2 linked regions of the Danio rerio genome follow. The protein of the gene in region 2 interacts with the protein of the main gene of each other region in a pairwise test. Links are inferred from orthologs where the notes say so. Each region holds a gene or a part of one and is shown on either strand. Other genes may lie near its edges.

Region 1 (4,313 bases), on a different chromosome or scaffold from region 2:
TGCCAATTTTGTTTTGTTTACATTGCATTTGTTTACAATGCATTATTTAAAATAATACTGTGACTTAATTGAATGGCAGTTCTTCCCACACATAGACTTTACTTGGGCAGGCTGCCCAGGTATATTAATGGCCGGCCAAGTATAGTGACACATTTTTTGTACGGTTATTAACATCCTTTTACAATTTTTTTTTAAACATTTTTGTATTTATGAGGAAAAAAGCTTTGTTATAAATGTGACGTCTCTCCATTATGGATGTGAAATTTGCACTTGTGTGACTTTAGTAAATCAAATATAATTGTTTGAGAACATCGGCAGAGACATTTCTGAGTATTTTTAGTCAATACAAGCCTACACAAATAACTTAGAAAGGGTTTTGCTATTTTGGTAAAAATATTTTTTTAATGACAAGGTTGACATTGCATGGAATTGCTCATACATCACAGAAGTATATAGGGTTCTTTTTGATGTATATTGATCTTAGAAACACAAATGCTAAGTATGTACTGAAAGCACATGGTTTGCCAAGTTAGGATGGCCAGTAACAATATTTAAGGCATGAACAAAATCACACCAGGCCCATCCAACTGGTTTGGGAACTAATATATATCCTACTGATCTCTCTGTGTGTGTGGCAAATGCTCTTTGATGATGATTACATAAATAAATCACATGACCTGGAAAAAGATTTACACCCTGTTTGAGTAGAAGGTTGAAATGTCATGAGACAGTGGCAATACTTTATTTTGGAACAGAAAAAACTGTAAGCAGAATACAATTCTTCCATTTAGGAACCTAACAGATGCTACTACCCACATCACGTACATTGATTGCTTTGCATTTAAAATACATACTTAAAATGTGGAAGGAATGTTATCATTCAGGACAAAATAAAACAAAAATTAACTTATCAAACACCCATTAGTTTTAATTAGTAATACTCATTCATAACATTAAATAACTATAGTTTTTATAGTAAATCATGTACATTCAATTATATCAACAATTAAATATGTAATTTGAATAACACAATTTGAACTAATTAAGCTAAACTAGCCTTAGTGTATGCCAATATTAGGTATGGGACGATAACCATTTTCAAGGTACACCGCAGTTTGGAAAAGACAAGGTTTTAAAACCATCAAAATTTTCTGCAATGTTGTTTCTAAGGTACGTGTACGATTTTTTATTACTTTTTTTTTGTTTTGTTTTTTAAGAAAACATTATCTCCAGCAGAAAATATATTCAAAGATGCTGTTTTAAATTGTTGAAAAAAAATCTGTTTTTGAAACTAATTAAGACAACAGAAGTTAAATGTATTTGAACTATTTAACCTGACATATTTACTACTCCAAAATATCATAAATGTCTCTTAAAATTTATTGTTTAAAGGGAAAAGAGTTTTTGTTTTTTTACCCAGAAATTTAAAAAGAATATATTATAGAGCAGTAATCACAAAACCGCATAACTGTGATATTTTTATCCAAGGTTATCATACCTTCAGAACCTTATACTGAGTATGTGCAAGAGTGTGTGTGTGTTTCCCAGTGTTGGGTTCCAGCTGGAAGGGCATCTGCTGCATATAACATATGCTGGATAAGTTGGGGGTTCATTCCATTGGGGCGACCCCATATTAATAAAGGGACTAAGCAGAAAAGAAAATGAATGAATACCACAATTAAGTGTGGAGATCTGCACAATCTCTGTCATAGTGATCTCCTGCCTATACTGACAGTAGGAAGGGGAATACAGGCTATTCAACAACATATAGAGTACACAAACAATTCAACAGATTGTTCTCAGAAAATTCTTGTAAACATATCCTAGCTTGACATGAATTAGTAAAATCATTGCATCAAACTCAAAGTTTAGCTTAATAGTTGAACTTGAATGTTAAACCTAAACTCAAAATAACAAACTGTTGCACGGACAGCATTATGTTTACAGTAGCACCACCACCAACACAGCCAGAGCTCTGTCTAAATATAGTCTCCTAGCCTGACCATCATCTGTTTCTTATCTTAAAAGAAAAGGGGCAGAAGTCTGGAACAACCAGACACGTATATACATCCATCGAAAACAAGAAAGAACTATACAAGATCCTCAAAAAGCCCATTAATAATGTAAACGCTTCAACTGTATGCACTGGGTTGTAAACAGAGCCCGAGATAACGTCAGATAAATCCATGCAGATAAAGCTCATCCACTCACCAGAACGTGACGTTGGCAGCCGTGTACAGTAGGACGCTGTGAAAGGGTCTCTCCCACAACAAAACGGACTGCAAATAGGTGAGCAGGCGCTCGTGTGGCCCCAACCGCTCCAGCAGCGTTGTTTTGACCGCGCGGAGCTGCTCGGATGTCCCACCGGAGCACGAACCGCTCCGGAGGCCGCCGCTGGAGCGCAGCCTCCCTGCACAACCGCTCGCTTCTGTCGCTTCTTCTGCCCCACCCGCCATACTCAACGTGTCTCTAAAAAAAGTGTCTGTAGATAAACCAACAAAGTGTACAATAATGTAACGCTAAAAACAACCCTCGTGCTAAAGAAACGGTTTGGTTAGCGAGCTAGCCGATTAGCCTGAAGCCGCTCAGGGCAGAGCAGCAGTGGGCAGACCTCGTGCGTTCAAGAGGCTGCCGTTGTTGACACGGAGTGACTGAGAGTTAAAACCCATTATTGGGCACGAATGTGTTGAATTAATACGTTTAAGTATCAGCTCGGCTCGAATTTAATGTTGTCACCGTGCTGCTGTCATATCTATGGTCATATCCAGTCGTTGTTTTGTCGCGGGAGCAACAGCGAAGACTGACGGGAGGACGGGCTTGATCTGGCCAATGGCAGACCAGGATTACAGGCAGAGCTGCTAAACAACAACCAACACCCACCACTGAAGTAAAGGCTCTTACTTCACATATCGTTCAGACAACACTTACAGATTATCTCCTTCCATGCTTTATTCGCTTATTAAACTTGTTTATGCATTACAGTTTGATGTTAGTTTTTATAATAAATAAAACAGATGTATCGTAGATGGATATTACTAGACTGTGTATGCTTGTAAATTGGGGGATAGGCGAATTAGATAAATATTTTATGTATTTTAAAAAGGAATATATAAATATTTTTTTATTTTAAAAGTCAACATTCATTCTTCAGGAGAGATTTAATTTCAGTTGCAGTAAAAAACTATAATTCTAAAAGTTTTAGGACTATTTTTTTTCATAGTACAGAATGCAGTTTACAATCTCATTTATAAGACAGTAACTAAGAATAAGATCTAAAATACATATTTTAATTTAATAAAACTGCTTATGCGTCTTATATTACTACATAGATAGAGAAAAAGACACATTCCTTTTAAATTCTTACAAAAAAGTTTAATAATTTCTTTACAATTTACAAAATTTATAGTTATTTAAATATATAAATAAAAATAATAATTATATGTATATCCCCATTGTAAGTATCTTAGGAGGTTAAAAAAAAAGTTGCCCGGAGAAATGTTATAAATAAACTGCATTTTAAACCTGACCAGAAATTCTATGCTTGCAAAATTCTGCGTAACTGACGCGCAGCTTTGATGTTGTTCAATATAAACGCATACATACGTCTTGAAATACGTCGGTAGTGCCCTCTACGTTTATGTCTTTTTTCTTTTACATATTTGCTGTTTTCCATAAAAACGTATTTTGTTCCATCCTTACAAAGATTGATCTAGTTAGATTACAGAGTGGCTTTAAATTTGTAAAGTTGCCGGAGTTTGCGCATGCGCAGTGGGCGTCCGATAGGCCGTTGCTGTTGGAGCGGGAACACGCATAGTGGTTGACTGACAGCAGAACGTCTCTCACATTTACTGATCGTACAGCTGAAATAACAGCAGGACGGGATGCCTCGAGAAATCATCACCCTGCAGCTCGGACAGTGCGGGAACCAGAGTGAGCCATTTTCCTTTATTAGGCTTTGTTTGCCAACAAGAGCCATCTTTACATAAACAGTGTACGTTAGCTAGCTAACGTTATCCAGCTAACGTTATCACACTGCACAGCTTTAAAACGACACCATAAATAAGCAACGTAAATAAGATCAGAAGATGGTTTGATTGTTTACAGTATTTTTTCAGCTGCAGGAAGCCAAGTACTTTCATTATTTTCCATTTAACACTACTGTCTGTTCTTTGTTTGTGTTTCCTAATCAATAAAACTAAACGTGGTAAGTTAACGTTATGCTTGCTTTGTAGTAACGTTAATTAACATTAGTCAATTTAGTCACATTGGCCGTTTTAGAAAGCGGGAATAGAGTTGTATTTATTTATAGGTGG
Region 2 (4,025 bases):
TACATTATATGCTAAATGATTATAGATCAATATTTTCTAATCATTTAGCATATAATGTCAAAATGTTAAAGTAGAACATTAAAGTAGAAAGTTACTATGCTTTTTATGTACAGTGCTCAGCATATACGAGTACACCCCCCACAAATGTCTGATTTCAATTAATATTTTCTATAGGATACTGTACAATATTTTATTTGTGCATATACATTAGTTTATTCAGTACTGAAGCCATAGGAGCCTTAGGAACTTTTACAAAAAATATATACAATTTTGTTGAAATGTTGTAGTTTGTAATTTTTTTTTGCAATATTTTGCATTAATTTAAATATATTATCTTTTCATTTCTAAATATGTTCTGTGACTGAAATATTATTTTTAATAAAAATATCTGTTTAATTATCGGTTTTGATCAAATGCACCAATATATATTATCCATATGCACCGAGAAATGGGGAAAAAAATTTCGCCTCCAAAAATTTTCAAACTGGGGAGAGAACTGTATATAAAAATCACTTATACTGAATTTGATGCAGATGACAGAATGGAATGTCTTGTCTTTGAAATATATTTCCTAATATATTTCACTAAAGATAAAGATTACAATAAAAAATTAAGATTATTTCCTAATATATTTTGATATATTCATATAATGGTTTAGAGCTGTGGATACATAGAACAATGTATTTTAATATTACTTATTTTTATATTTCCAAGGTCTAGAAATCACACTTTAAAATGATTGATGCTTTGTTAAATAAATGCAGTATTTCTAACTGCTTTAGCTTCATCTTTTCTTTTTCAATAATTCTAAGTCACCCCAAGGCCCTCATAGAAGTTGAAGCCCATTGTTTTAGAGTAATAAATTTCAGGATCTTAAAAGAAATCCGGAGCTGACAGGTAAGTGACATCTTGAAAGCAATAAGGCTAAAGCAATAAGTCTAAATTCATTTATGACACTTGCATAAAACAAAACTAGTTTCTCACCGGAATTTTATTAGGATGCTGCTCTCGTATCTGCTGCACTTCCTTGCAACGATCAGCTGAAAAGACAAAAAACAAACAGAAATTTGGTACACTTCTGAATAATATACATTTTACAGTCCAAATTCAAAATACACAGTAAGTATATTTTCAAGACTCATTCCTGAAAACACTGTAATCACTGCATTAGCATTTGCTGAATTTGCTTATGTCAAACCTGTTTAGCAGAAACGCTCAATAAACATTCCTAAAAACTTGAGGAAAAATAATTGCGGATGTGTTGTTTGACATGCCCTACTCTACAAACCTATTCCACCATAATGTACAGTATAACAGACAAACAAACATTAATTTCTGTTAAAAGGTTTAATATCTTTTGTTATCACTCTGAAAGCTCAACAATGGTTAATCAACGCATTTGCATTATTTAAATAAACTACACGTTTTAATCTTGTAATTAAAATTTACAAGATTTGCATTTTTAGAGACATTGTCTGTTTTTATTCCTTTTCTATCATTTATTTCTCATCTGCTGATTATTTTATTAATTTATGTTAATATATTACATAGGCTATTTTCTATACATTTCTAAAATGCTTTGGCATTCGAGTTTGCTTTGAACTTGGAGTGAAAGAAGCAGATTTTACCTGTCAGAGGGTGCAAATGGCTCCTGAATAGTATAAAAGTAAGAGAAATAGTGGATTTTTTTCAACAGTCTTTTTACTTTAAGCCATTGAAAAGAAACTGTATAACAATGTCATAATAAATAAAATTGTAAAAATTAACTTATGTTTTGTTTGTCGAAAATCAATATCTATTTAAGTGATGATGTGGGTAACTTGTGTTTCATTCTGGCTACCACTGCAAGTATATTTCAAAGTAAAACTAAAAAAAATCCAGCTTGCTTATCAGGGTAAGCTTCCTAACTTGTGTGTCATTTTTACTGATGTCATGTCTGGGTCATCCGTGTCAATTGTATAATCCCAAAGGCTGGACAAATATAAGACTGTATGCAGATCATATTGACCCGGACTCTTACAGATGTGTTTGAAACAGCAAATCTATGTTGCACTTGTTATGTTTAGGAAGATTATGCAAGGGTTTTATGCTCCTCCCTCCCCACACCCTGTCCACAGTCTGGACTATGAGAAAGAGCTCATATTACAGCATCATATCAACAGCACGTGTACAGTCCATCCTTTCCTTCAATGTTATTGTCAAACAATAAATATTCTAAATATATAAATGCATCATTTACACCAAATGTAACAGAAAAACACTACTGTCAAAAAAAAGAAATGTTGATCTCACATTTTCACAAAGCTGGTAAACAACACATTTATCTAGCTACATATCTGTAACTATATGTCATTCATCTATGTTTCTAAGTAAAAAGTTAAATATAAGGTTATATACGTATTTACAAACACAACAGTTGTAAAAAAAATAAAGCTGATAAAATTTAAACACAAGGCCTATAAAAAAGCCCAAGCTAGCTTACTGTTTAGCAACTGACCTCTGTCGGTTTTTGTTAAAAACTGTCATTTAGACTTTAATATTTATTTCTATAATCGTCTCATAAGCATTTAGAGCTTTGTAGAGGAATGTAAACAGTGTGTCACGCAGTTGCTAGCAGGCTAGGGACAAAAACAAACCTGATAAACAAATACACTTCGGCTGACAAGGCACGAATAAAACTCATCTTACCGAAGCTCCGTCGTTGTTTGAAGGGTCTGTCGGATGGCATAACTGTGCTTGAATGTGGTTAAAAGTAGTTTAAAGGGTTTGCGTGTTATTATATGCTGAATTGTCGGTCGACTCGGCTTCTTTTCGAGCTCCTGACTCACTGTAAGCAAAACAGCTCGAGACAATATACTAAAGCTCGTGACGTCATCAGATTTAAAGAGACAGAGTCCTCTTTAAATGAATAGTTTAACCAAAACTAAACATTTACTCAGCATTTGCTTAACCTCAACTGGTTTTAGACTATTATGGGTTAATATTTCCTATTAAATGAAATAGAAGATATTTTGAAGAATGTTGGAATCCGGTAACCATTGATATCCATTGTAGTGGGGAAAAATGCAAAATTAAGTCAAGAGTTTTCAACATTTCTAAAAAATATTTTCTTCTTTTGCGATCAATTTAAATTCAAACAGGTTTTTGCAGCCATTTACAAGAATTATTTTAAACATGAAATCATTTTCAATTCTCTATATAAACCTAAACTAAATTTATATTATGGCAAAAAACAAAGCACCTTTTCCATTCAATATGAATACACACAGCCACAAAAAGTAATAAAAGGAAATACATTGTTGTTTTATTGTCCTGTTAGCATTCACAAACAAGTACAGTATGTAATAGTGTCATGTTTTTGCTTTTTGATGATGAACAGTTTGGAGTACTTGCAAAAATGAGAATGAGAAAACAATAAATTAAGTATATGGCAAACTATTGGAATGATAAGCAAGAGCAGTACAAACCATATTTTTATAATAGGATAAGAAGCAACTTCCTGTAATGTTATGTGGTTAATAGTACTATATAAACCTCACTGAAACATTAAATGAAACACTTTTGGCCTGTAATTACAGAAAAAAAAATACTTCAGAAGTACTTAGAAGGACTACTCTGTGGGATTTTGAATGACGATCAGGAAATAGTCCTTGTCTGTGGAGAAAACAGAGTAAATATATGATTAATTTCTGATCATTACAATTAGTTGATATCAGATTTATATAGCACATTACAGAATAATACAACACGCAAATTGGTTTTTGTAAAGATAGACTTGAATGTACAACATTATGGCATTTATAACAAAACATCAACCCCTACCCTAACTCTAAACCTGTAAACAGTAATGTAAAAATATTAATTATTGTTATACAGTGTCATTAAAATTGCTGCTATATTGATGTGCATATCGCACTTCTAGCCAGCAGTGTATCCTATTTCTATCTAGACTTTACCCTAAATCAGGGCTTTTCAAAATAAGGTCCGGGGGACCCATTCAGTGAAATGTTCAGAGAAAAGGCTTA

The links. The genes of interacting proteins can lie anywhere in the genome.
Region 1: the proteins of map1lc3a (region 2) and retreg3 interact in binary tests that used the Homo sapiens proteins (3 or more experiments, as listed by UniProt). The link is inferred for Danio rerio from reciprocal best matches to the Homo sapiens genes MAP1LC3A and RETREG3.

What each region holds. Positions count from the first base shown.
Region 1 is NC_133178.1:35,948,903-35,953,215, reverse strand, and holds the start of retreg3 (reticulophagy regulator 3), read right to left. Parts: upstream 2,803-4,313; 5' UTR 2,457-2,802; coding exon 2,212-2,456; intron 1-2,211. Other genes in the region: tubg1 (tubulin gamma-1 chain), read left to right, coding at 3,882-3,930. UniProt on the Homo sapiens protein: Endoplasmic reticulum (ER)-anchored autophagy regulator which exists in an inactive state under basal conditions but is activated following cellular stress.
Region 2 is NC_133186.1:28,686,339-28,690,363, reverse strand, and holds the start of map1lc3a (microtubule-associated proteins 1A/1B light chain 3A), read right to left. Parts: upstream 2,810-4,025; 5' UTR 2,729-2,809; coding exon 2,689-2,728; intron 1,041-2,688; coding exon 985-1,040; intron 1-984. Other genes in the region: dynlrb1 (dynein light chain roadblock-type 1), read right to left, coding at 3,611-3,654. UniProt on the Homo sapiens protein: Ubiquitin-like modifier involved in formation of autophagosomal vacuoles (autophagosomes). While LC3s are involved in elongation of the phagophore membrane, the GABARAP/GATE-16 subfamily is essential for a later stage in autophagosome maturation.